Linked DNA regions of Oryctolagus cuniculus. The protein of the gene in region 1 interacts with the protein of each later gene in a pairwise test. Links are inferred from orthologs where the notes say so. Each region holds a gene or a part of one and is shown in the gene's direction. Other genes may lie near its edges. The genes, in order: IPCEF1, CYTH3, CYTH2, CYTH1 and CYTH4.

The links.
Region 2: the proteins of IPCEF1 (region 1) and CYTH3 interact in binary tests that used the Homo sapiens proteins (3 or more experiments, as listed by UniProt). The link is inferred for Oryctolagus cuniculus from reciprocal best matches to the Homo sapiens genes IPCEF1 and CYTH3.
Region 3: the proteins of IPCEF1 (region 1) and CYTH2 interact in binary tests that used the Homo sapiens proteins (3 or more experiments, as listed by UniProt). The link is inferred for Oryctolagus cuniculus from reciprocal best matches to the Homo sapiens genes IPCEF1 and CYTH2.
Region 4: the proteins of IPCEF1 (region 1) and CYTH1 interact in binary tests that used the Homo sapiens proteins (3 or more experiments, as listed by UniProt). The link is inferred for Oryctolagus cuniculus from reciprocal best matches to the Homo sapiens genes IPCEF1 and CYTH1.
Region 5: the proteins of IPCEF1 (region 1) and CYTH4 interact in binary tests that used the Homo sapiens proteins (3 or more experiments, as listed by UniProt). The link is inferred for Oryctolagus cuniculus from reciprocal best matches to the Homo sapiens genes IPCEF1 and CYTH4.

What each region holds. Positions count from the first base shown.
Region 1 is NC_091436.1:13,312,836-13,317,120, forward strand, and holds the start of IPCEF1 (interactor protein for cytohesin exchange factors 1), read left to right. Parts: upstream 1-1,423; 5' UTR 1,424-1,590; intron 1,591-2,368; exon of another isoform or gene 2,369-2,778; intron 2,779-4,285. UniProt on the Homo sapiens protein: Enhances the promotion of guanine-nucleotide exchange by PSCD2 on ARF6 in a concentration-dependent manner.
Region 2 is NC_091450.1:40,180,152-40,184,260, forward strand, and holds the start of CYTH3 (cytohesin-3), read left to right. Parts: upstream 1-1,167; 5' UTR 1,168-1,318; coding exon 1,319-1,352; intron 1,353-4,109. UniProt on the Homo sapiens protein: Promotes guanine-nucleotide exchange on ARF1 and ARF6. Promotes the activation of ARF factors through replacement of GDP with GTP. Plays a role in the epithelial polarization.
Region 3 is NC_091449.1:8,592,731-8,596,899, reverse strand, and holds the start of CYTH2 (cytohesin-2), read left to right. Parts: upstream 1-1,279; 5' UTR 1,280-1,295; coding exon 1,296-1,758; intron 1,759-2,012; coding exon 2,013-2,160; intron 2,161-2,261; coding exon 2,262-2,328; intron 2,329-3,107; coding exon 3,108-3,226; intron 3,227-3,800; coding exon 3,801-3,881; intron 3,882-4,169. UniProt on the Homo sapiens protein: Acts as a guanine-nucleotide exchange factor (GEF). Promotes guanine-nucleotide exchange on ARF1, ARF3 and ARF6. Activates ARF factors through replacement of GDP with GTP.
Region 4 is NC_091448.1:2,963,798-2,967,459, forward strand, and holds part of CYTH1 (cytohesin-1), read left to right. Parts: intron 1-491; coding exon 492-572; intron 573-1,464; coding exon 1,465-1,577; intron 1,578-2,840; coding exon 2,841-2,989; intron 2,990-3,346; coding exon 3,347-3,458; coding exon of another isoform or gene 3,459-3,459; intron 3,460-3,662. UniProt on the Homo sapiens protein: Promotes guanine-nucleotide exchange on ARF1, ARF5 and ARF6. Promotes the activation of ARF factors through replacement of GDP with GTP.
Region 5 is NC_091442.1:114,279,991-114,284,270, forward strand, and holds the start of CYTH4 (cytohesin-4), read left to right. Parts: upstream 1-1,354; 5' UTR 1,355-1,488; coding exon 1,489-1,507; intron 1,508-4,280. UniProt on the Homo sapiens protein: Promotes guanine-nucleotide exchange on ARF1 and ARF5. Promotes the activation of ARF factors through replacement of GDP with GTP.

The sequences.
Region 1 (4,285 bases):
GTGTTGTCCTGGTCTAAGCAATTCATGCTTACAAAGAAAGATGGAAGGAGTGATCAGCTTTTGTGCCATGTGGGTTTGGTAGGATCCAAAGGTCATGAAATCCTGTTTTATCATTCGGAGGAAGGAGCACATTCATCAAGTATTGAGAAAAAGAAGGTCATATGTTGAGAAAGTCTACTCCTAATGGGATGAATTGTATGACTCTGTAAATCAAGCTGATTGCTGATACTGTCTGCATGCCGATCATAAGTCAGTGCCTCCTCCTGATTGCTTTGAAGCCTGCTCACGCTGTGACTATGTGAAAAATTTTCCATTTGTTTCCATTTCCACCTAGATTCTGGCTAGTTTTATAGCTTAGGTTTTTGAATGTGTGCTAATTTATCTGTGTCTTGGAGATGGAATGAGAATCATTAGATTTGTAGACCTAAACAATGTGTCTTGGTAATGAAGTGAACCAAGCTGAAGCCAGGAGCCAGGAACTCCATCTGTTTCTCCCTTGTGGGTGGCAGAGATTCAAGATTTAAGCCATCATCTGCTTTCTCCAAGGAGCACTGTCTGGGAATTGAATAATAAATAGAGTCGCTGTGATGGGATTTAGGAATTCCAAGCAGTAGCCTAACCCATAGCACCATAACACCTTTCCAAAGACTTATTTAAATCCTTAACTACTTTTTTTTTTTATTTTACAGGTAGAATTATAGACAGAGAGAGAGAGAGAGAGAGAGAGAAAGGTCTTCCTTCTATTGGTTCACTCACCAAATGGCCGCTACGGCTGGAACTGTGGCGATTTGAAGTCAGGAGCCAGGTGCTTCCTCCTGGTCTCCCATGCAGGTGCAGGGACCCAAGCACCTGGGCCATCCTCCACTGCCCTCCCGGGCCACAGCAGAGAGCTGGACTGGAAGAGGAGCAACTAGGACTAGAACCCAGTGCCCGAGTGGGATGCTGGTGCCGCAGGGCAAGGATTAACCAAGTGAGCCACGGCGCTGCCCTGATCCTTAACTACTTTTTACAAACTAATTTGCATCCTCTATTTAGCAGAGTATTACAAATGATAAGGGTAGAAGAAAGGAGGGAAATTTGAGGGAAGATGGAACCTAAAAGAGGTTGATATTACAAAGTGACAGCAGCACCAAACATCCTGAGAACAGCTCTGCAAATGATCTCACTCCTCATGCCTGTAAATAAACTTCTTTGCTTCCAAAACAGGAAAGCCAAGCCAAGCCAAGCACTATTTTATGCATATGTCTTAGAAATGAACACACTGGAAATGTTTAATGATAAATGGGTCAGACTGATGGGACGTGTCTGCTCTGCATCTATTGTGTCCTGATATTGGAATCAAGAAGGGGTTCAGCGACAATAAGAAGGAAGAACAATAAAATTAAGGAAGTGGAGATGACACTTCCTCTTCTTTTGAAAGAGCTTTTTTTTTTTTTTTTTTTTTTCTGGTCAGCTTCTAATGGGAGTTCCAAGTAGACTGAACCTCCAGAGCTGTGACTGCTTACAGTGGAATAGTCAACCCTTCCTCAGACTATTATGAATTTTCTGAACTTGGCGCCAAAGAGTCAGTTCCTGGATTTCCTACTGCATGTAAGTAAAAAAAATCACTCCTTGATTGTGTATGAGAAGTCCTTGTTTGGCATATCAGGATGGTACAGGATGGACATTCTATCATTATCTCTAGAATAGTGATTTCTAGAATCTTGGGATTTGGCGTTTGCTCAGCTCTTCATACGCCTGCTGCTGTGAAGTGCAGAGCTGTAGACTTTGAGTTAGAGCTGTGCAGGGTAGACTAGTGGACTCACTTTTCTTCTCTATTTTTCTTAAACAAGTGTACTGGTGGCTACTTGGGCTGCTGACCATGGGTTTAATGCAGAAATGCTTAATTCAACATCTGTTAGGGTCCTATCGTAATAGTTTGTGGCCAGACTCTTTGGAGAAAGTGCGTTTTTATGCGGAGAATGCCTCTTTGCAGGCCAACAACTGGAGGGGATTGTACTTTTAGAAGAAGGTCACAGGCTAGACCAGAAATCTCTGGTATGAAAATGAGAGCAAGTTGTTGGCTCAGAGTCTTTTCCTGTAGCGTCTGTGAAAGAATTGAATTTTAGGAAACAGGTGTAGCCCACTGAAGTACTAGAATTCATTCACCTGTAAGGACCTGTTTCTGGTACTGTCCTAGACATTTTATAGTAACACTTAAAGTCTGATTCCTGTACAGTTATTTATTTTGCATAGAACATGGAAATAGAGCTTTACGTATACATCATGCAAGTGAGGTGGGAAAGGAGTTATGCTCGTGCCTTTGTTGATGTACTCATTCACTATTTTGTCTTTTAATTTTATTCCTTCCCTCTCTTTATATATCAAGTGTCTTTTTCTGGAGAGGATAAGTCCAAGCATGAATATTTTAAACAAACCACATTAAGCAAGTATGCATCATCAGTGCATGGAAATAGGAAGCCCTTTCCTGCGGTAGCTGGCTGTGGCAATAAGAGATAAGAAATTACTTCATGACTATTGCCTGAAACTTTCCTTTTGACTTGTGTATCCTTCTTGAATGGCTCACTTCTGCTTTCTGTCCAGCTTGAAGGGAAGGCAGTGCGAGCTGCTAACCCAAGCACAGGTTTGACGATTTGCAAGGAGATTTAGTATGCCCAGTGCCTTACATGTGTAGAAAATCCTAAAAAAGAAGCTTTTTGATGTTGGAGAAAATCCTGCCAATGACAGGATCACCGCAGTTCCAGGGTTCAGAGCAGTGCCAAACAGCATATGCACTCAGTAAGTATATGTTGAATGAATGGAACGGTCGGGATTGTTCATCAAACGAGTGTGGGAGGGTAGCCATTGCTTTGCTTCCCTGGAAGGTACAGGTCGGAGGAGGTCGGAGTGAAGCAGCAGAGGAGGAAACTGGGAAGGTAGGAGGAGAGGATGTCTTACCAGGATGATGCAAAGCCATGGGTCAGGAAAGCGGGAGGGGTGGAGATGTGGTGGTGGAGGTGGATGTGGTGGAGGAGGTGAAGGTGGAGATTCCGGTGGAGGGGAGTTGGAAGTGGCGGTGGAGGTGGCAGGAGAGTTGATGCTGGTGGTGGCTGTGGCAGTGGAGATGATGATGGGGGTTTGTGGGAAAGAGCAAGTAGAAAACATAATTTTGGGTCCAGCACATCTGTTAAAAATCTGCATCTACTACTTATAAGCTCTATGACTCCTGAATCTGTAAGGTGGTGATAATAAAATACTAAGGCTTTCGGGTTGTTGTGTGAGGACAATACAATAACCAAAGCATGATTGCATAACGATTACCAGGTCATGGATCTTTACTGACAGGTAGTTGTCAATACATTTTCCTTTTTAAAATATTATTTCTCTTTTTCTTGTTGTATATGTTCATGAACTTAAATGCTAGTCTGTGACATGCAGCTATTTTTTAAAATAAAGTTTTATTTCTTTTTAAAGCTTTGTTTCTTTACTTATTTGAAAGGCAGAATGAGTGAGAGAGAGATCTTCCATCCCTTGGCTCACTCCCCCAGTACCTGTAACAGCTGACGCTGGGCCAGGATGAAGCCAGGGACTCTGCAGGGGCCATGTGGTCCTTGAGCCATCATCTGCTGCCTGTCAGGTGCACTAGCAGGAAGCTGCATCAGAAGTGAAGCACTCTGATATAGGATATGGGTATCAAAGCAGTGACTTAACGCTCTGCGCCACCATGCCCACCCCTCTTCAGTTTTCAAATCGGTAAAGCCGCCCACAGTTAAAAATTTAGCCACTTATTTGTCTTTTTCCATTGAGGCTTTTTGAAATTTTTCTACATTTTGCAAAATGAACTTGAATCTCTGCCATAGTCTGAATAGTCCCCTCACCCCCAATTTCCTTTTGCAACCTAATAGCCATCACGGTGGTATTAAGAGAAGGGGGAAGTGATGAGGATGTCGCAGGACTTTGCCCGTGGGTTGGATTAATGCCCTTGAAAAAGATGCAGGAGGGATTGAGTGCCGTGCCCTCTTCTGCTACATAAAGATACGGAAAAGAGACCATCCACAGGAACAGGCTCTCACCAGACCTCAGATCTGCTGATGTCCTGATCTTGGACTTCCTAGCTTCTGGAACCATGAGAAATAAATTTCCATTATTTATAAACTACCCGATGTGTGGTGTTTTGTTATAGGAGCAAGAATAGACTAAGACTCATTTATTAGGAACAAATGCTGGGGTCGGCACTGTGGCGTAGCAGGTAAAGCCGCCGCCTGTAGTGACGGCATCCCATATGGGCGCTGGTTTGAGTTCCAGC
Region 2 (4,109 bases), on another chromosome or scaffold:
GTTCAACACCCAGGTATCACATTATTGAGTTCAAAGTATGCTATCCTTGGATGCTCTTATCTCTAAGATAACAAACTGATGTGAACAAGACCAGCGTGCCACCTGTGTGGGTGGGGACCTGAACCTGCATCACATTGTCCCTTTGTCACACAAGAGTGGCCCATGGCCTTGGAAGTGCCTGAGCGCTCTGTGTCTTAATTCTTGTTGTTTTCTGCAGGTAGAACTCCTTGGATTCTCTCCACAACCGTGGTTGGCTTAGACAGATGACCCCCTGGGGGAAAAGTCCTTTGACTCAATGAGCGACCTGCAAATATAAAACAGTTGCCAGAGAATTCTATTAGAGATGAGCCATCTCCCCCATTACAAGGTTTGCTTTTCTTTAATGCAATTTAGCTCAAGCAGAAAGGCCAGTTGGGAGGGGCTGCGTTCTGTGCCTTACTGGAAGCCAGACCGGCGGCGAGTGAGGCAGGCGATCCACAGAGATTTGGGGCAGGAAGGAGGGGAGGCGGCTGCCCCACAGGCCTGTGCCCACGGGGAATTGAGTTCAGACCTCCTCCTGTAGCCATAAATCCAGGGCAGCTGGCAGCGATCCAAGAGAGGCTGGCGCTAAACTCCAAGGGCATCCGACGCCACGCCGGCCACCCCCTCCCGCCCTCCCGCCTTCCCTGGGCTGGACCTCAGGTGTGCCCCACTGGGCCTGGGTTTGCAGCCTTTTAAGCAACTGGAGCGCGCACCCGCGGCCGGGCAGGAGCGGAGAGGCTCTACCGCCCCGGAGGAAGCCGAAAGCCTGCAATTATTCTGATGTTGTCTTGGGGTGGGGGGGCCGAAGCGGGGAGGGTCTGACTTTTGGGTGCCTCCAGCTGTTCCCCTGCCCCATCCAAACCAAGCGCACGTGCGAGCTGCACCCCCCCGCCCCCCGGCCACTTGGGTGTGCAGCAGCAGAACGGATCCGTCCCCGTGTTCCAGACCCCACGTGCATCCCGGGGCCCGCACAAGGCGGAGAGGTCTGCCGCCAGCCGCGCGCACGAGGGGGCCTGCACCCCGAGGGTCGCGCCGTCTCGGCCGCCCCAGCTAAGCAGACAGCGCCCGGACCGGCAAGCTCCGAAGGGCGGGGCCGCGACTGGAGGGGCGGGGCCACGGTCACGTGACGGCGCGCCGAGCGGCGAGGCCCCGCCCGGCGGGGAGGAGGCCCGGCCGCGACCCGGGCCGCGCGCTGAGGAGCCGCCCGGCCGTCCGCGCGCTCCCTCCCGCAGGGACCCCAGCTAGCGGCCCCTTGACCGTCGGCCCCGGGCTTGCCGGCTGCGGGAGCGGCTTCACGATGGACGAGGACGGCGGTGGCGAGGGCGGCGGCGGTAAGTGTCGGAGGTGTGGCCGGCCCGCTGGCGGCCTGAGGCCGGGGGTTTGTGGTGGGGGTGGGTTGGCGCGAGCGGACGACCGGGCCGGGGGTCCCGAGCCGGGGGTCCGCCTGCGGAGACGGCGTCCTGGGCTACGCCGGTGCCGGCTGGCGAGCGCGGGAGGCCCGAGGCTGCGGCGCCGGGGACTCCTGGGACGAGGCGGGCCGGGGTCACCACCCAGCACCGAGCAGGGGTCCGGGTGGGGAGCCGGGGCCGCCGCGGGTCGGAGCGCGGGGGTCGCTGTTGTGGGGCGCGGGACCCTGCGGGGCGACCTTTCCCGGCTTGTGGCGGCCAAGGGCGTCCACGCCCTCCGGAGCCCCCCAGCTGTGTGCGACCACCCCCCTGGAAGCCCCCATGTCTCGGGGGGTCGGGAGCTGTAGGCAGTGGGGAGGGGGAAAGTTTTGAATCGGGGCTCTGCGGGAGGGGCACAAGAGGAGGACAGGCTGAGGATCGTGCCCCTTCTCTCGGCTTTAGGTCCGAAGTGGTCTCTGGAATTGCGTTCAGCGAGGGGCCGGGGCAGCTGGAGTCCCGGTCTGCACACGCGTTTTATAAAATAGCAAATGTTACAGAGTAGGCAAAAGAAAGAGCGAACCGAGGCAGCGCAGCAGCCGAGGGTGCGAGTCGGGAGCCACAGCCAGGAGCCGAGGCGGGGAGACCCCCTTTTCCCCCCACAGTGCGTCGCGCCCTGCACAGCCTAGCCCCGGGTGGTCCCTGCTGGACCCTCAGCTTCCTCGTGGTGGTTGAACATGACCGAGTGGAGTCAGATTGCTGTGTGTCATTCTGCATAGCAGGTTTTACAGACAGAAAAATGTGCCTCCCTCTTCGGATGGAATGAGTGGGTCATTGCCTTGGCCAGTAAAGGGTTAACGCCCATCTGCCCTCCCCCCCCCTTTTTTTTTAACAGGGGCACCCAAAGTGGAGGCTCTCTCTACTTTGGCTAACGATCTCTCTCTCTCTTTTTTTTTTTTTGCTGACAGCCGGAGTCATCAGACCCCCATGTAATAAGGGAGCGTTCAGGGAAAAAAAAAATCTTAATTACAGGCTGCGGGAGCAGCTGCCTGTAAGAATCAGCAGTATTGAATGCTTCAGGATGAAGTGGTTAATCAAGGTGCCTTCTAGAATTCAAGTGGGGCTCAGAGGGAGATGTTGTCGCGTGGAGGAAGAAGCCGACGCGGCTGGGATGGTGGGAAGTTGGCGCCCGGCGTGGTTCTTGCTGTGGCCCGAGTGGGTGTGCTGTTTATGGAAGAGGGTGCTGTGGCAAGCAGGAGCCCAGTTGCAAACCCTCCTACAGCCAGGCTGCCCCGTCTGGCAGCGTCAGATCCTAAGTAATGGGTTCCCCGTGGGTGCCGGGCGCCAGCCTATTGCGCTTTGTCGTGGTAGGTTTCCCTTTGTCAGAGAAGAGTGACAAACGACCTGCAGTGTTTAGACGTGTGTAGCTGGCTGGCTTGGCGATTTTATTTGGGAGGTGCTTCTGTGCACTCTGAATGAGGAAATGCAGAAAGATGTGAAGGTAAAAGCAGGTGTAAGGGGGTAGGGGGAGGAAGCCTCTGTGTTCCAGCAATTTATAGAACTCGAGGACTGGGACCGTGACAGCAAGGGATGGTATTAATTATCAGAAGTCTTCAAATTGGGCCATTTGCGTTTCTTCTGGGAATATATCACAAACAACCTTGAAATAAAAAAAAAAAAAATCTTGTGAACGAAGCTGTGTGCCTTCAGCTGTTTGTAAGTTATTGAAAACAGCACTGTCCACCAGTAGGGGATTGGCGAGGTAAATTATGGCAAGTTTATTAGATGAAACATTTTATAACCACTAAAAATAAGCAGTTGTTTTACACATCATACTCTAAACAAAATAAAAGCTGGTGACATTATGGATGTTTTATTTTCTTAGTTTTTATATTTTCCAGGTGTCTGGGATGAGCGTATATTACTTTCAGATTGGCAAAAAGCAGCTTATAGGCAGGCGAATGTTTTGAAGTACAGCATCTAATTCATTCAACAATGAACAGTTATTTATTGATTGCTAAGATGCCAAGCGGCTTGGTGGGTGGTGGAAAGCAACTTTCAGCCTTTATTAATTTGATTTATTAAAATCATCCTTCCTTCCGTTGTGGAAGACATTTAAAAATATGTTTGGCAATCTTAGGATTAAGTATTTCTTTCAAGTGAGAATCTTTGAGAATTTGAACTGAGTCTTTATGTGGTGGTTATTGAATAAGCTGGATGTGCTCACATTTTTTTTTTTTTTTTAAGATTTATTTATTTGGAAGGGAGAGCTACAGAGAGGTAGAGAGAGCGAGCGGGCAAGTGCGAGAGAGGTCTTCCATCCGCTGGTTCACTCCCCAGATGACCGCAACGGCTGGAGCTGAGCTGAACCGAAGCCAGAGCCGTGAGCTTCTGGGTCTCCCACGTGGGTGCAGGGTCCCAAGCATTTGGGCCTTCTTCCACTGCCTTCCCAGGCCTCAGCAGAGAGCTGGATAGGAAGTGGAGCAGCCGGGACTGGAACCAGTGTCCATATGGGATGCCGGCACTGCAGGCAGTGGCTTTACCTGCTATGCCACAGCGCCAGCCCCAGTGTTCACATTTAACTCTTGATTGTTGGAGGTCTTGAAGTTAACATAACACTTCACTTTTTTTAATAGTTATTAATATTTATATTTTTCGAAACATGCTATGTGTTAAAATTTATGGTTTTAGAGATGAAGTTCAGCC
Region 3 (4,169 bases), on another chromosome or scaffold:
TTCTCTGGCCGGGTAGGACAGGACCCGGGCCGCTCATAAAGGTCAGTGAGGGGATTAAAAGGCTCCATGTCTAATCCAACGGCTTAACCAGGTCCTGGCCCCGAATCCGTCCCCGCCCGCCCAGCCCAGGGACGGCAAATGAGGTGAGGCCCAGAGACTTCAGTCCCCGTGGTCTGACCACTCACAGGGGCTCGGCGGTTCTGTCCAGGCGGGACCTGCGCACCTGCCACCCCCGGCCGGGGCTGTGGAACGGGAGGGCCTGGGGCGCGGGGGGAGTCTGAGAGGGTCGGGGTGGGGGATGCCTGAACAGAGCAGAGCCGGAGTCGGGGGAGAGAAAGCAGAGAGGCGGCAGAGAAAAGAGAAAGAGGTAGAGACTCGGAGGGAGGATGCTACGCTAAGGGGAGGGGCTTAGGAAAGAGGGCGGAGCCGGTGCTGTCCCTAACGTCCCATTCTGCGTGACCGGTACCCGGGAGTGTAGCATTTGACAGAACTCCATTTCACTACGTCCTGACCCTGAAGCGGCTGGAGTGGTCATGTGGGGCGTTAAGGGAAGGGTCTGCACGTAGCAAGGGAGACGCGAGGCAAAAGGCCGGCGAAGCCGCTCATGGTTGCGCGGCAACCGCGGCGGTCCAAAGCCAGCGTGGCCGGCCGGGAGGTGTGGCTCACGGCCTAGGCCCCGCCCCCTAGCAACAGGACTAACAAAGTAACGCCCCCTGGCAACGTGCTGAGAGGCGGGGCTCGACTGACCCAGACTCCGCGCGCCCCGAGTCCTTGCGCAGGCTCAGTGTTCTCCGCTCGCGCACAGCCCCACCTCCTCACAACGCCTTTGCGAGGCTTCTCATTGGTGGACAGGCTTGCCAAGGGCATTCTTTTGTTTCGGGGGCGGGGCCTGGCGCCCTGCCCGCACCCCGATTGGGCCCCCTGGCTGTCTACCTCCGGCCGGACATGCCTAACACCTGTTTCTTGTGTGCCTATTGGCCTGGGCGGACTGTCCTTTGGCGTCGGGGGGCGGTGCAGCCCGGAGGGGTCGCCGCGGATTGGGCGGTGTCAAGACGAGGGGCGGTCCCTACCGGCCGGGCGGTTGGGCGACGAAGGGAGAGTCTTTTCAGCGCTGAGGACTGGCGCTGAGGAGGCGGCGGTGGCTCCCGGGGCGTTTGAGCGGGCTCACCCGAGCCCGCGGGCCAGCGCGGATCCAGGCCCGACTGGCGGGACCGCCCCGGACTCCCCGCGGGCCTTCCTCGCCGCCATGGAGGACGGCGTCTACGGTAGGCCGGAGGGGCGGGGCCGTGGAGCGGATGGAGCGTTCCCTGGCGAACGCCCCGCCGCCGGCGTTCGCGCCCGGCGCCCGCCGCCCGGGGTCCTCGGCGCCGCCGTCGCCGCCGCGCTGGCCGGGGCGCCGGGCGGGCTTCCGGCGGGGTCCGCGAGCGCGGGGCGTTCCGGGCCATTGTCTGGGCCGAGCCCGTTTCCGGCGTCGGCGGGAGGGGGCGGGATGGCGCGGCGGAGGCGAGGCCGGGGCGGAACCATTCCCGCCGGAGGGGCCGGGCGAGCCCAGCGGCGGGCGGGGAGGGGAGGCCGTGGGGGCTGCCGGGTCCGCCGAGGCCCGGCCGCGCCGTCCCGACTCCGCGGGCTGCCGTCGGCTTCTCCTGCCGTGGTCACTTCCCTTGGACCCAGGGCTTCCGAAGACCCAGGCCCATCTTCCCCCGGGCCCCCCGGCCGCCGCGCCAGTAATGGAATCAGAACACCACGGCCGCTTTCCAAGTAATGGACCCGGAGGCCGAGGCTCCCACGCGGGTTCCCCCTCAGACTCTGGGGGCCGGGCCCTAAGCCCCCCCGCCCCCCCCGGGACTCCCGGCCTCAGCCCTGGCCTGAGCGGTCCAGGCTGCTAGTGCCCCCTTCATCCGAGGCAGGCGCCTCACCTGCGTCCTGCCCCAGCCCCGTCTCGCCCCACGTTGCAAGCATGCAGGCTCCCGGCCCCAGGGCTGACCCTCGGCACCCCGACCCCGGCCCCGCAGAACCCCCAGACCTGACGCCGGAGGAGCGGATGGAGCTGGAGAACATCCGACGGCGGAAGCAGGAGCTGCTCGTGGAGATCCAGCGCCTGCGGGAGGAGCTCAGCGAGGCCATGAGCGAGGTGGAGGGGCTGGAGGCCAACGAGGGCAGGTGAGGGCCGGGCCCGGGGCGGGCGGCCCGAGCCAGGCCGGCCCAGGACGCCAGGCCTGACCCTGGGCCGCCGCCCCCGCCCTGCTTCGTGTCCCCTGCAGTAAGACCTTGCAGCGGAACCGGAAGATGGCAATGGGCAGGAAGAAGTTCAACATGGACCCCAAGAAGGTACCGGGGGCCAAGGGCTGGGTGCTGCCGGGGGGCGGGGGGTTGTAGCAGGTTTGTCCCCAGTCCCTGGACTCAGCTACTGGCTGTCCGCTTGCGCTGTGAGCCCTGAGCAGTCCAACCTCTGGGGAGGCGCCAGACACCAGGCTGTGGACAGCCAAACGGGGAGCCTGGGGGGCTGCCCCGAGGAGGAGACCAGGTTAGGTTTGGAGGATGGAGAGGCGTTCACCAGTTGGAGGAAAGACTTTTTTAAAAGGGGGAAAGAGAGGGAGGGAGGTCCCAACAGCCAGGGCTGGGCCAGGTCAAAGCCAGGAGCTTCTTCCGGGTCTCACGCACAGGTGCAGGGGCCCAAGGACGTGGCCATGATCTGCTGCCTTCCCGGCACGTTAGCAGGCGGGTGGCTTGGAAGTGGAGCAGCCGGGACGCGCACGCTGGCCCAGCATTGCTCACCCAGTCGTTCATTTAACACCCGTTTTCCAGTGCCTCCCGAGGGCCCGACCCTGTGCCGGGCGGAGCTGGGGACCCAGGGAGGAGAGGCCCTGGACACAGACCCACCGCCCAGAACGAGCTGTAGCTGCAGCGTAGGGGCTGCACGGCCAAGAGGGCGCCGAGGAGCCTCCAGGCCGCCTGGGGCTCGGTGTCCACCACTGCTGCCCACTGACACCGTCACTCAGCAAGCAGGTGTTCAGCGTGGACCTAGCCAGGCAGGGACAGGGAGGCTGAGGTCCAGGCACCTGTGACGGCCTGGCCCCGGGCACTGAGAGCCCGCTCTCGCCCGCCAGGGGATCCAGTTCTTGGTGGAGAATGAACTTCTGCAGAATACCCCCGAGGAGATCGCCCGCTTCCTGTACAAGGGTGAGGGGCTGAACAAGACAGCCATCGGGGACTACCTGGGGGAGAGGTGAGCCCCTTCATGCCTGCCGGCCTCGCTCCCTGGGCAGGGCCCCTGCACACTGGCCCTCGGACCGGACTGCTGCGGAGTGTGTGTGTCTGGGTGTGGGCGGCCTGCCAGCGCCCAAGACGGGGGTCCCCTTATAGAGAGCATCCAGGAGCATCACGGGAGTGGGAGAACCAGGCATGGGCTGCAGGTGTGCGTGGGAGCTGTCTGGCCAGCCAGGGAGTGTGGGGACGCGTGGCAGGCCCCTAGGGAGCACGGACCCCGTGGACATCTAGGCGATGTGCAGCTGGGTGATGGCTGGGGAGCATGTGGCTGGCGGGGGGCATTGGCAGGCCTTCATGGCCACTGGGGTGCACGTCTAGGGGCCAGGGCACCGTGTCCACATCTGGGGAGTGTGGGGTCGTCTGAGGGGGCAGGAGGTGGCGTGGGTGGTGGGTGCGAGTCTCCCAGCAACGGTGCAGCTAAACTTGAGCAGCCCTGCCGTGGGGCCAGGCGGGAAGCCGCGTTCCCTGCCGAGGGCCAGCTGCCCCAGTGCCCCCTGTGCGTTCCTGTGTGTGTGACTGTCCTGTGCTCGCAGGGAGGAGCTGAACCTGGCCGTGCTCCATGCTTTTGTGGATCTGCATGAGTTCACCGACCTCAATCTGGTGCAGGCCCTCAGGTGAGGGGAGGGGTCGGGGGGGCAGAAAGTCACTTTCCTTAGTCCGGAGTGGTGAGCCCCACCCCACACAAAACTAGGGAGTTGATTGCTTCTTGTAATGCCAAAGTCCATGAGTGAGCCTCCTCCAGGCACGGCCGTATCCAGGCGCCCTCTTCGCTCGTCGTGTTGGCATTGAGCTTCTTGACCTTCCTACGTGGCACCAGAAGCCCGTAGCAACCACCAGACCTGTTTAGAAACCTCAGAAGAAGTATTTTTAATTTTCATTTTATTCGAAAGGCAGAGAGAGAC
Region 4 (3,662 bases), on another chromosome or scaffold:
TTAATTATTTACTTTCACTTTAATTTGAAAGACAGAGTTCTCCCAACCTCTGATTCCCTCCGCAAATGCCTGCACATCCTAGGGCTGGACCAGGCCAAAGCTGGGAGTCCAGAACCCAGCCTGGGTCCCCGGCACGGGTGGCAAGGACCAAACACCTGAGCCGTCATCCTCCCAGAGTGCACACTGGTGGGAGCAGGAATCGGAAGTGGAGCGGGCCGTGACGCCCAGCACGGCGACGCGGGACGCAGGCACCCCCGGTGGTGGCCTAACCATCGCACCAAAAGCCTCCCTGGGAGCGAGTGCTCCCAGTGCAGAGGGCCGGCTTGTCCGCAGGACAGTCGCTGCTCTGTCCAGAGCAGGAGGACACTTGCTTGTTCAGTCAGCAAACGGGCAGCCCGGCCTCTTCCCGACAGTGTGGCCACGAGACCCGGCCGGGCTGTCAGCGGGGACGCCTGACTCCTGTGTCCCCCGTCCGTGTCTTTTCTTGGCAGAGATGAGTTCAACATCCAGGTTCTTCATGCGTTCGTGGAGCTGCATGAGTTCACGGATCTGAACCTGGTCCAGGCGCTGCGGTGAGTCAGGGTGAGGGGCGGCCTCGGCCAGGCGCTGCGGTGAGTCGGGGTGAGGGGCGGGCCTCGGCCAGGCGCTGCGGTGAGTCGGGGTGAGGGGCGGGCCTCGGCCAGGCGCTGCGGTGAGTCAGGGTGAGGGGCGGGCCTCGGCCGTGTGTCTGTGCTGTGTGCTGTTTGGTTGAAATGATCTCTTTGGAAGTTATTTAAATGTCTTGAAGAGTTTTAAAGGAAAGCAGTCGGTCTTCCTGTAGCTGGAAGTGATTGGATGAGCAAAGGGAAGTAAGTTAAGATAGACCCGAAGCAGCTTCTGCAGCACCCCCACCCACCCCCCCCGCCCCGGTCTCCATCTCGGAAACTGGTGAAAACGCGTACATTTTGAAGTCTTCAGTTTAGAAAACCCTTTTAATTCCCTGCGCTTGTGCATTGCATTTCTTCCTAGAAAGAAACTTTAAATTTTTTTTTTTTTTTGCTAAACTGAGCCTTTTTGCTAAACTGGCGGCCTCATCGTTTGTGGACAACGCCGTCTTGTGCTGTCCGTTAGACAGGTTTCTGTCCGCCGTGGCCTCTCTCTGATGTAAAGGGAGCAGCTCTGAGAGCTGTGGTTTTCCTCTCCTGCCGCGCTGCCTTGTTTTCTGGAAACCGGAGTTTGTTTAAGAGCAGCTCCGTCTGTGTTTCAGTTCTGTGTTGTTTTAGGAGGAGAGCATTCTGTTGAATAGGAAAACCTTCACTTTCCCTAAGTCCTGTACCTTCGATGCTGGCACCGGTGGTCCGGGTGGCAAGTCTGGGGAGAGTCGTGTGACGGGGCTGAAGGCCAGGTCTCTGCCTGTCCCTGGACACTGAGTTCCGGGGGACGTGAGCCGTCTCCAGCCCTGCCCCGCCCTCCCTTCACCCTCAGGCAGTTCCTGTGGAGTTTCCGGCTCCCTGGAGAGGCCCAGAAGATCGACCGGATGATGGAGGCCTTCGCGCAGCGGTACTGCCAGTGCAACCCTGGGGTGTTCCAGTCCACGGGTGAGTGGGACTCGTCCCAGCACAGGGTGCTAACCTCTACCACACCAGGGCTGGGGCCCATGCACACTCCACAGTAGAAAGTCGGAAATGATCCAGAACCCCTGCAGTAGGCACTAGGAATATAATTTGTAGTAACTCAGAACTGTGAAACACAAGGCTATGAAGAATCGTGTTTGTAACACTTATTTTATATATTTGAAAGGCTTTCAGAGAGGGAGAGGGAGAGCGAGGTCTTCCATCCTCTGGTTCCCTCCCCAAATGGTTGCAGTGACTGGAGCTGAGCTGATCTGAAGCCAGGAGCCAGGAGCTTCTTCCAGGTCTCCCACACAGGTGCAGGGGCACAAGCACTTAGCCATCTTCTACTGCTTTCCCAGGCCACAGCAGAGAGCTGGACTGGAAGTGGAGCAGCCAGGACTCAAACCGGCACCCATATGGGATGCCGGCACTGCAGGCCGCCAGTGCCGTAACCCACTGCACCACAGCACCAGTCCTGCTATTAAACCTTGTGAAGAATTTTTACATCCCGGCTAATGATAAGATGAGCAGAAGTGCATATGTGTGTGTCTGATTGCGGTGCTAGTGCAGTGTGTGTCTGTGAGGTGCTTTTCTGATTTCGGACACACAGGCACATTCATGTAGAAGAAATAAAGCAAAATAAGTGAACAGTGGAAGTTTAGGTAATTTGTATTTTCTTTTTAGTTTTTTAAAAGATTTATTTATTTCTTTGAAAGGCAGAGTTAGAGAGAGAGAGGAAGAGACAGAGACAAAGAGAGAGAAATCTTCCATCCACTGGTTCACTCCCCAAATAGCTGCAAAGGGGCCTGTTTGAAGTCCAAAGTCTGGAGCTTCATCTGGGTCTCCTGTGTGGGTGCAGGGTCCCAAGGACTTGGGCCATCGTCCACTGCTTTCCCAGGCCATTAACAGGGAGCTGGATCAGAAGTGGAGCAGCCGGGACTCAAACTGGTGCCCATATGGGACGCTGGCACTGCATACGGCGGCTTTACCCGCTACACCGCAGTGCTGGCCCCAATTATGTTGTTTTTTAAGATTGTCTACAGCATACTCTCATTCTGAGTGAGCGTCCTTTGAGACTAGTGTTCTCTGTACTTTGAGAGGCGCAGCCCAGAGCCGCCCCACGCGTGATCCCCCTCGCCTGCACGCGCAGCCTTTGAGCCCCCGTTTCCCTGGCCGTTCTCACGCTTCTGGGTGGGGTGTGTCTGTGCGCTTGGAGCACACCCAGCCCCCACTCTGTCTCGTCTTCAGACACTTGCTACGTCCTCTCCTTTGCCATCATCATGTTGAACACGAGCCTGCACAACCCCAACGTCAAAGATAAGCCCACCGTGGAGAGGTTCATTGCCATGAACCGAGGCATCAACGACGGAGGCGACCTGCCCGAGGAGCTGCTCCGGGTGAGCCCCGGGTGGCCCTGGTGTCGGTCGCGGGAGCCCCTGGGGTTTAGCGTGGGTCTGTGCTTGCAGGTCGTTCAGCTGTGTGACTTTCCTTAAGAAACGGGTAGCGGGGCCCAGCTAAGGGATTGGGAAGGGGCTGTGGTTTGGTACGGCTTCCTGGTCACCCCCCCGGATGTCTGTGTCTGTCTCGTCACGTGAGCTGCTGGAGGCAGACCTGGCCCCATCCTTCTGCTCGCGGAAGCTGGCAGCCGTGGCTCACTGGAGGCCACGCTCAGTGCTGCTGGAGGGAGTGACGAGGAAGGGGAGGGAGAGAGAGATTCCTGGAGTCAGAGACATGCAGTGTCGTCTTTTATCCAGAATCTGTATGAGAGCATAAAAAATGAACCCTTTAAAATCCCAGAGGATGATGGGAATGACCTCACTCACACCTTCTTCAATCCAGACCGAGAAGGCTGGCTGCTGAAGCTCGGTGAGTCGTCTCTCTGGGCTGGGTTCCTCAGGCAGGGACTAAGAAGGGGAGGCCGTGTGCACACACATGATGGAGGGACCCTGTGCACACATGGTGGGGGAGGCTGTGTGCACATGGTGGGGGGAGGCTCTGTGCACACACATGATGGAGGGACACTGCACACATGATGGGGGAGGCTGTGTGCACATGATTGGGGGAGGCTGT
Region 5 (4,280 bases), on another chromosome or scaffold:
GGGCCAGCTCAGGACCACGGGGGCAGCAGGACCTGCGAGGGTGGCACTCACGGACCTGCCACGGAGCTCTTTGCCATGCTGGCAACCGTGGCTTTCCCCACACTGCTCCTTCTGTGTGAGCCACAGTGTGCCGTGTCCAGCCCAAATGCGTGGAGTAGAATCGAGTGTGCCATGGGGATCATGTTCAAGTCTCCTGCAAAGCTACCTGGAGCTACCCTAAGCCAGGGGAGGAGGCGGTGCGGGCCCCAGGCCCTGGGCACGCTGGGCTGGGATGGCAAGTGTTTATCCAGCACCTGCTACGGCCCAGGCGTCTCACGCGACCGTCTCACTCCGTCTTCTCCAAGGTCCCACGGTGAGTGTGGTTGTTCCCCTCACACGGGTAAGCAATGTGAGGCTCCCAGCAGGCAGACAAAGCCATAGGCCTGAGTTCATCCAGGTCCCAAGTGGCAGGGCTGAGAGTCGAGCAGCCGAGCCTGGCCCCGCTGTCCGGACGCTGCGAGGATCGGCTGCAGGGGCCCGCGTTGTGGCGCCGCAGCTTGGGACGCCTGCACCCGTATGAGAGCGCCTGGGTCCCGGCTCACCCTCCACCTCCAGCCCAGAATGTGACCCTGGCAAGCAGCAGTTGATGTTCAAGTACCTGAGTTCCACTCACATGGGAGACTCGGATGAATTTCCCAGCCCCTGGCTATGGCCTGGCCCAGCCCTGGCTGGTGTATTTAGTGGAGTGAACCAGTGGATGGAAGATATTTCTCTCTCTCTCTCTCCCCGCTTTCCCTCTCTCCCTCTCTCCCCTACCTCCCTCCTCTGTCACTCTGCCTTTAAAACAAATACACAAAATTGGAAGCCTACAAAGTTCAAAAGGAGCAATGATAGACAAACTTCAGATTTGATAGTGAGTTTCCTGGCAGCCTAGTGGAAAAGGGAAACTGAACATATAACCAACTGGTCACCAGACAGGAACAAGTCAGGCATTTAATTAAAGGGAAGCAAAGCAAGCCCTTTCTAGCTAGCACTGAATGTTTTTTTATCAGTGGGAGTTGAACGAGAGCCTCGGGGGTAGGACACACGGGGCCCAGCCAGGAGGACTAAGCAGGCTGACCCTTTGGTTTGTGTGTGGGGACCCCCCCGCCCAGGATGAATACCACGGCCCCGAGAGAACGTTCTATTCTCAGAGCGTGTGTGCGCACGTGTCTGTGCGAGGCTCCCTGTGGCTCTGTTCTCTCTCTCTCCCCTCTCCCCATCTGTGTCATTGGCTGCTACCTCCCTGCTCGCACCCCGAATGCAAAGGTCCCCGATGCCGGCTTTAGAAAGTGCGGCCGCCTCGGGAGCCTGCGCAGGAGCCCCGGGCCTGCACGTACTTCCTCCCTGCAGGCAGGGCTGGGCGGGGTAAGCAGGAAGAGGCCTCTGCAGGGGCGAGGTGACGCACCCTTGCCGGGCTGGCCGAGCAGCCGAGGGTCAGGGGCAAGGTGCTGCCCCTGGGGCCTCACCATGGATCTGTGCCACCCAGGTAAGCACCTGGGCCCGGGCCCTGCAGGCCTGAGCGCCCTCTGCCGAGGGGCGGGGTGACGGCACCTGCCTTGCAGGTCCTGGAAGGAGACGGTCTGGAATGCACTTGACACGGGTGGGAGAGGCAGCAGCAAACATGAGCACTCCTGGGGCTCAGGCTGGGTCGCAGGGGCACCTGCTACAGTGGGAGAGAGCACACGCCACAGGTCATGTGGCATATGTCACTTTACTGTCACAGGAGAAAAGTAGGGCAGGGACGACGGGAAACAGGGAAGCACCCCCGAGCAGAGCCCTGAAGTGGGGGAGGGGGTGATCCGCGGGGGTTCCGGGGCAAGAACATTCCGGTACAACGCTCAGCGCTGTTCTTGCGACGAGGCTGAGGATGGTGGCTGTGTACGGGGACCCTGCAGCCCCTTTCTGCCATTGGGGGCGGCTGAGGAGAGGCGCAAGCTTCCCCATACCCAGGGCGGTGCAGGGAAGACGACAGGAGGCTGGGACGCTGGCAAGGGGGGCAGGGCAGGCTCACGGTCCTGGGGAGCGGAGAGAGGGACGGGGAGAGGGGGAACCAAGTCCCCCCACCCAGTCCCAGAATGTCCCCAAGGCACCTGGGGTGCCGCCTGGCAGGAGCCACTCAGGTCCCCGGGGCCAGGTGGCTTCAACCTTGCTCAACAATGAAGCCTTTCTTCAGATGAAAGCCAACAGGACTGCGGTCTTGGAGTCCCGACGCCCGGGGCTGTGTCCTGCCTGGCTGTCCTGGGGGAAGGAGACTCAGGCAAGGACTGACTCGCCTGAAGCCGTGTGGCCAGTAAGTGGCAGAGGGACAAGAACCCAGGAGGAGAGAGCCCCAGGTCGGGGGCAGGGAGAGGAGCCAGAGCAGAGGAGTGGGGTGGGAGGAGGGATCTCATCTTTGCTTCAGGCTGGCCCTGGGGGACGTGGGTGGGTGGCAGGTGCAGGCGGTTGCCTGGTTGGCTCGTCCTCTCGGCCATTCACTCTCTGCACACTCCTCCAGGGTGCTGTGTGTCAAGTGGGGTAGAGTGGTGACCCAGCTATGGGCCAACCCCTGAGGGAGCTCCTGGTCCAGGGTGTTGGGGTGAGGGGGGCAGAGGGAGGCGCTGGTTCTGCAGGGCTCTGACCCGGATGAGTCAGTGGACACAGCCACAGAATGTGGAAGGAAGCAACTGTCTCCAGGGAGGCAGAGGAGATCTGGGTAGACTTCCTGGAAGAGGGGGTAGGGGAAATGACAGCCCTGTGACCACCTGAGCCTTGATCATACTCCTCGGTGGGCAGGACACTACCCCAGGCTGAGCCCAGACTCGCTGCCTGTAGGTGGCTGCCCTCATCCACCTGACCTGCAAAGCGGGGGTGAGCCGGGGCTCGGACAGACTCCCCCAGATCTGGCTCAGAATCCAGCCCTGCACCTGCCCATGGCCGGGATGGGTCTCTCCCACCTCAGTCTTCCCAGGGCCCACCTGGGACGTGGGAGAGCAGCTAGGGCCCCGCCCCTGGGGCTTAGGTGGTTGGGGACACGTCCAGGCCAGGAAGCCCCGAGGTGACCGAAGGCGAGCGCTGGCTGGGCGGCCACCGGTGCAGGAGGCCACGGCCGGTTAAAAATAGAGGCATCTGCAGCGGGGGAGAGGAAGCCGCGGGCGGGGCCTCTGGGCTGGGGTGAGCAGCAGCCCCCCGGCCCCCAGCGCCCTCCGGCCTGGGGCCTCTTCCCAGAGGGCGCCAGGCTGGCACTGCCCGCTGCCCTGGAGGGGAAGTCAGGCAGCTGCCCTGGCAGGCGCAGCGACGTCTAAAATTATGTCACAAAAAGGGAAGTGCAGAGGAGCCGCGGCGGTCGGTGCGGGCACGAGGCAGCTGCAGCCCAGGGGCGCAGGGGTCAGGGGTGCAGAGGGGCCGGGCGGGGCAGGAGAAGCATGAGGGGCGGGGAGGAGGCAGCAGGGCTCTGCAGGGGTGCTGGTGTGTGTATTATTATTGCAAAAACGTGCATCTCCCTCAAAATCTGAGGGCGCTTCCAGATGCTGGTGGAGGGGCGTTTGGCCCGGCATTGGGTTGGACGCAGGCTGAAGTGCCCGCTTCCCAGGGCAGGCGTGCGGCGCGGCGGGTGAGACCCTGCTTGGACGCCCACGCCCCATCCTTCCAGTCCCGCTCCTGGAGCCCAGCGGGGGGCAGCAGCCACGGCTCAAGCTGGGGTCCGGGCTACTGGCTGGGTTGTCGCTGGCCTTAGGGGAGTGACCCAACAGATGCAGGGTCTCTCTATCTTGCTCTCCCCCCCAAAAAAAAAAAAATAAAATAATTTTTTTTTAAAAGACAAACCTGAATTTTAAAACACATTCCCATACCCCGTGTCGGAGAGGCTGGATTCCCCGGCTCCGGCTCCTGGCTCCCGCGCGCCGCCGGCGCCCAGCCTGGGAGACAGCAGTGATGGCTCCGGTAGCCGGGTCCCTGCTGTCACATGGGCGACCCGGATCCAATTCCCCACTGTGGTTTTGGCCCCAGCCAGGGGCTACTGTGGCCCTCTGGGGTGTGGACCAACAGCGGTTAAGTCTCTCTCTCTCTCTCCACCCCGTCCTTCAAACAAATAAATCATTTTTGAAATGTTCATGGAAAATGGAATTAAAAGATGTTTAGTTTGGCCAGCGCTGCGGCTCACTTGGCTAATCCTCCACCTTGCGGCGCCGGCACACCGGGTTCTAGTCCCGGTTGGGGCGCCAGATTCTGTCCTGGTTGCCCCTCTTCCAGTCCAGCTCTCTGCTGTGGCCCGGGAGTGCAGT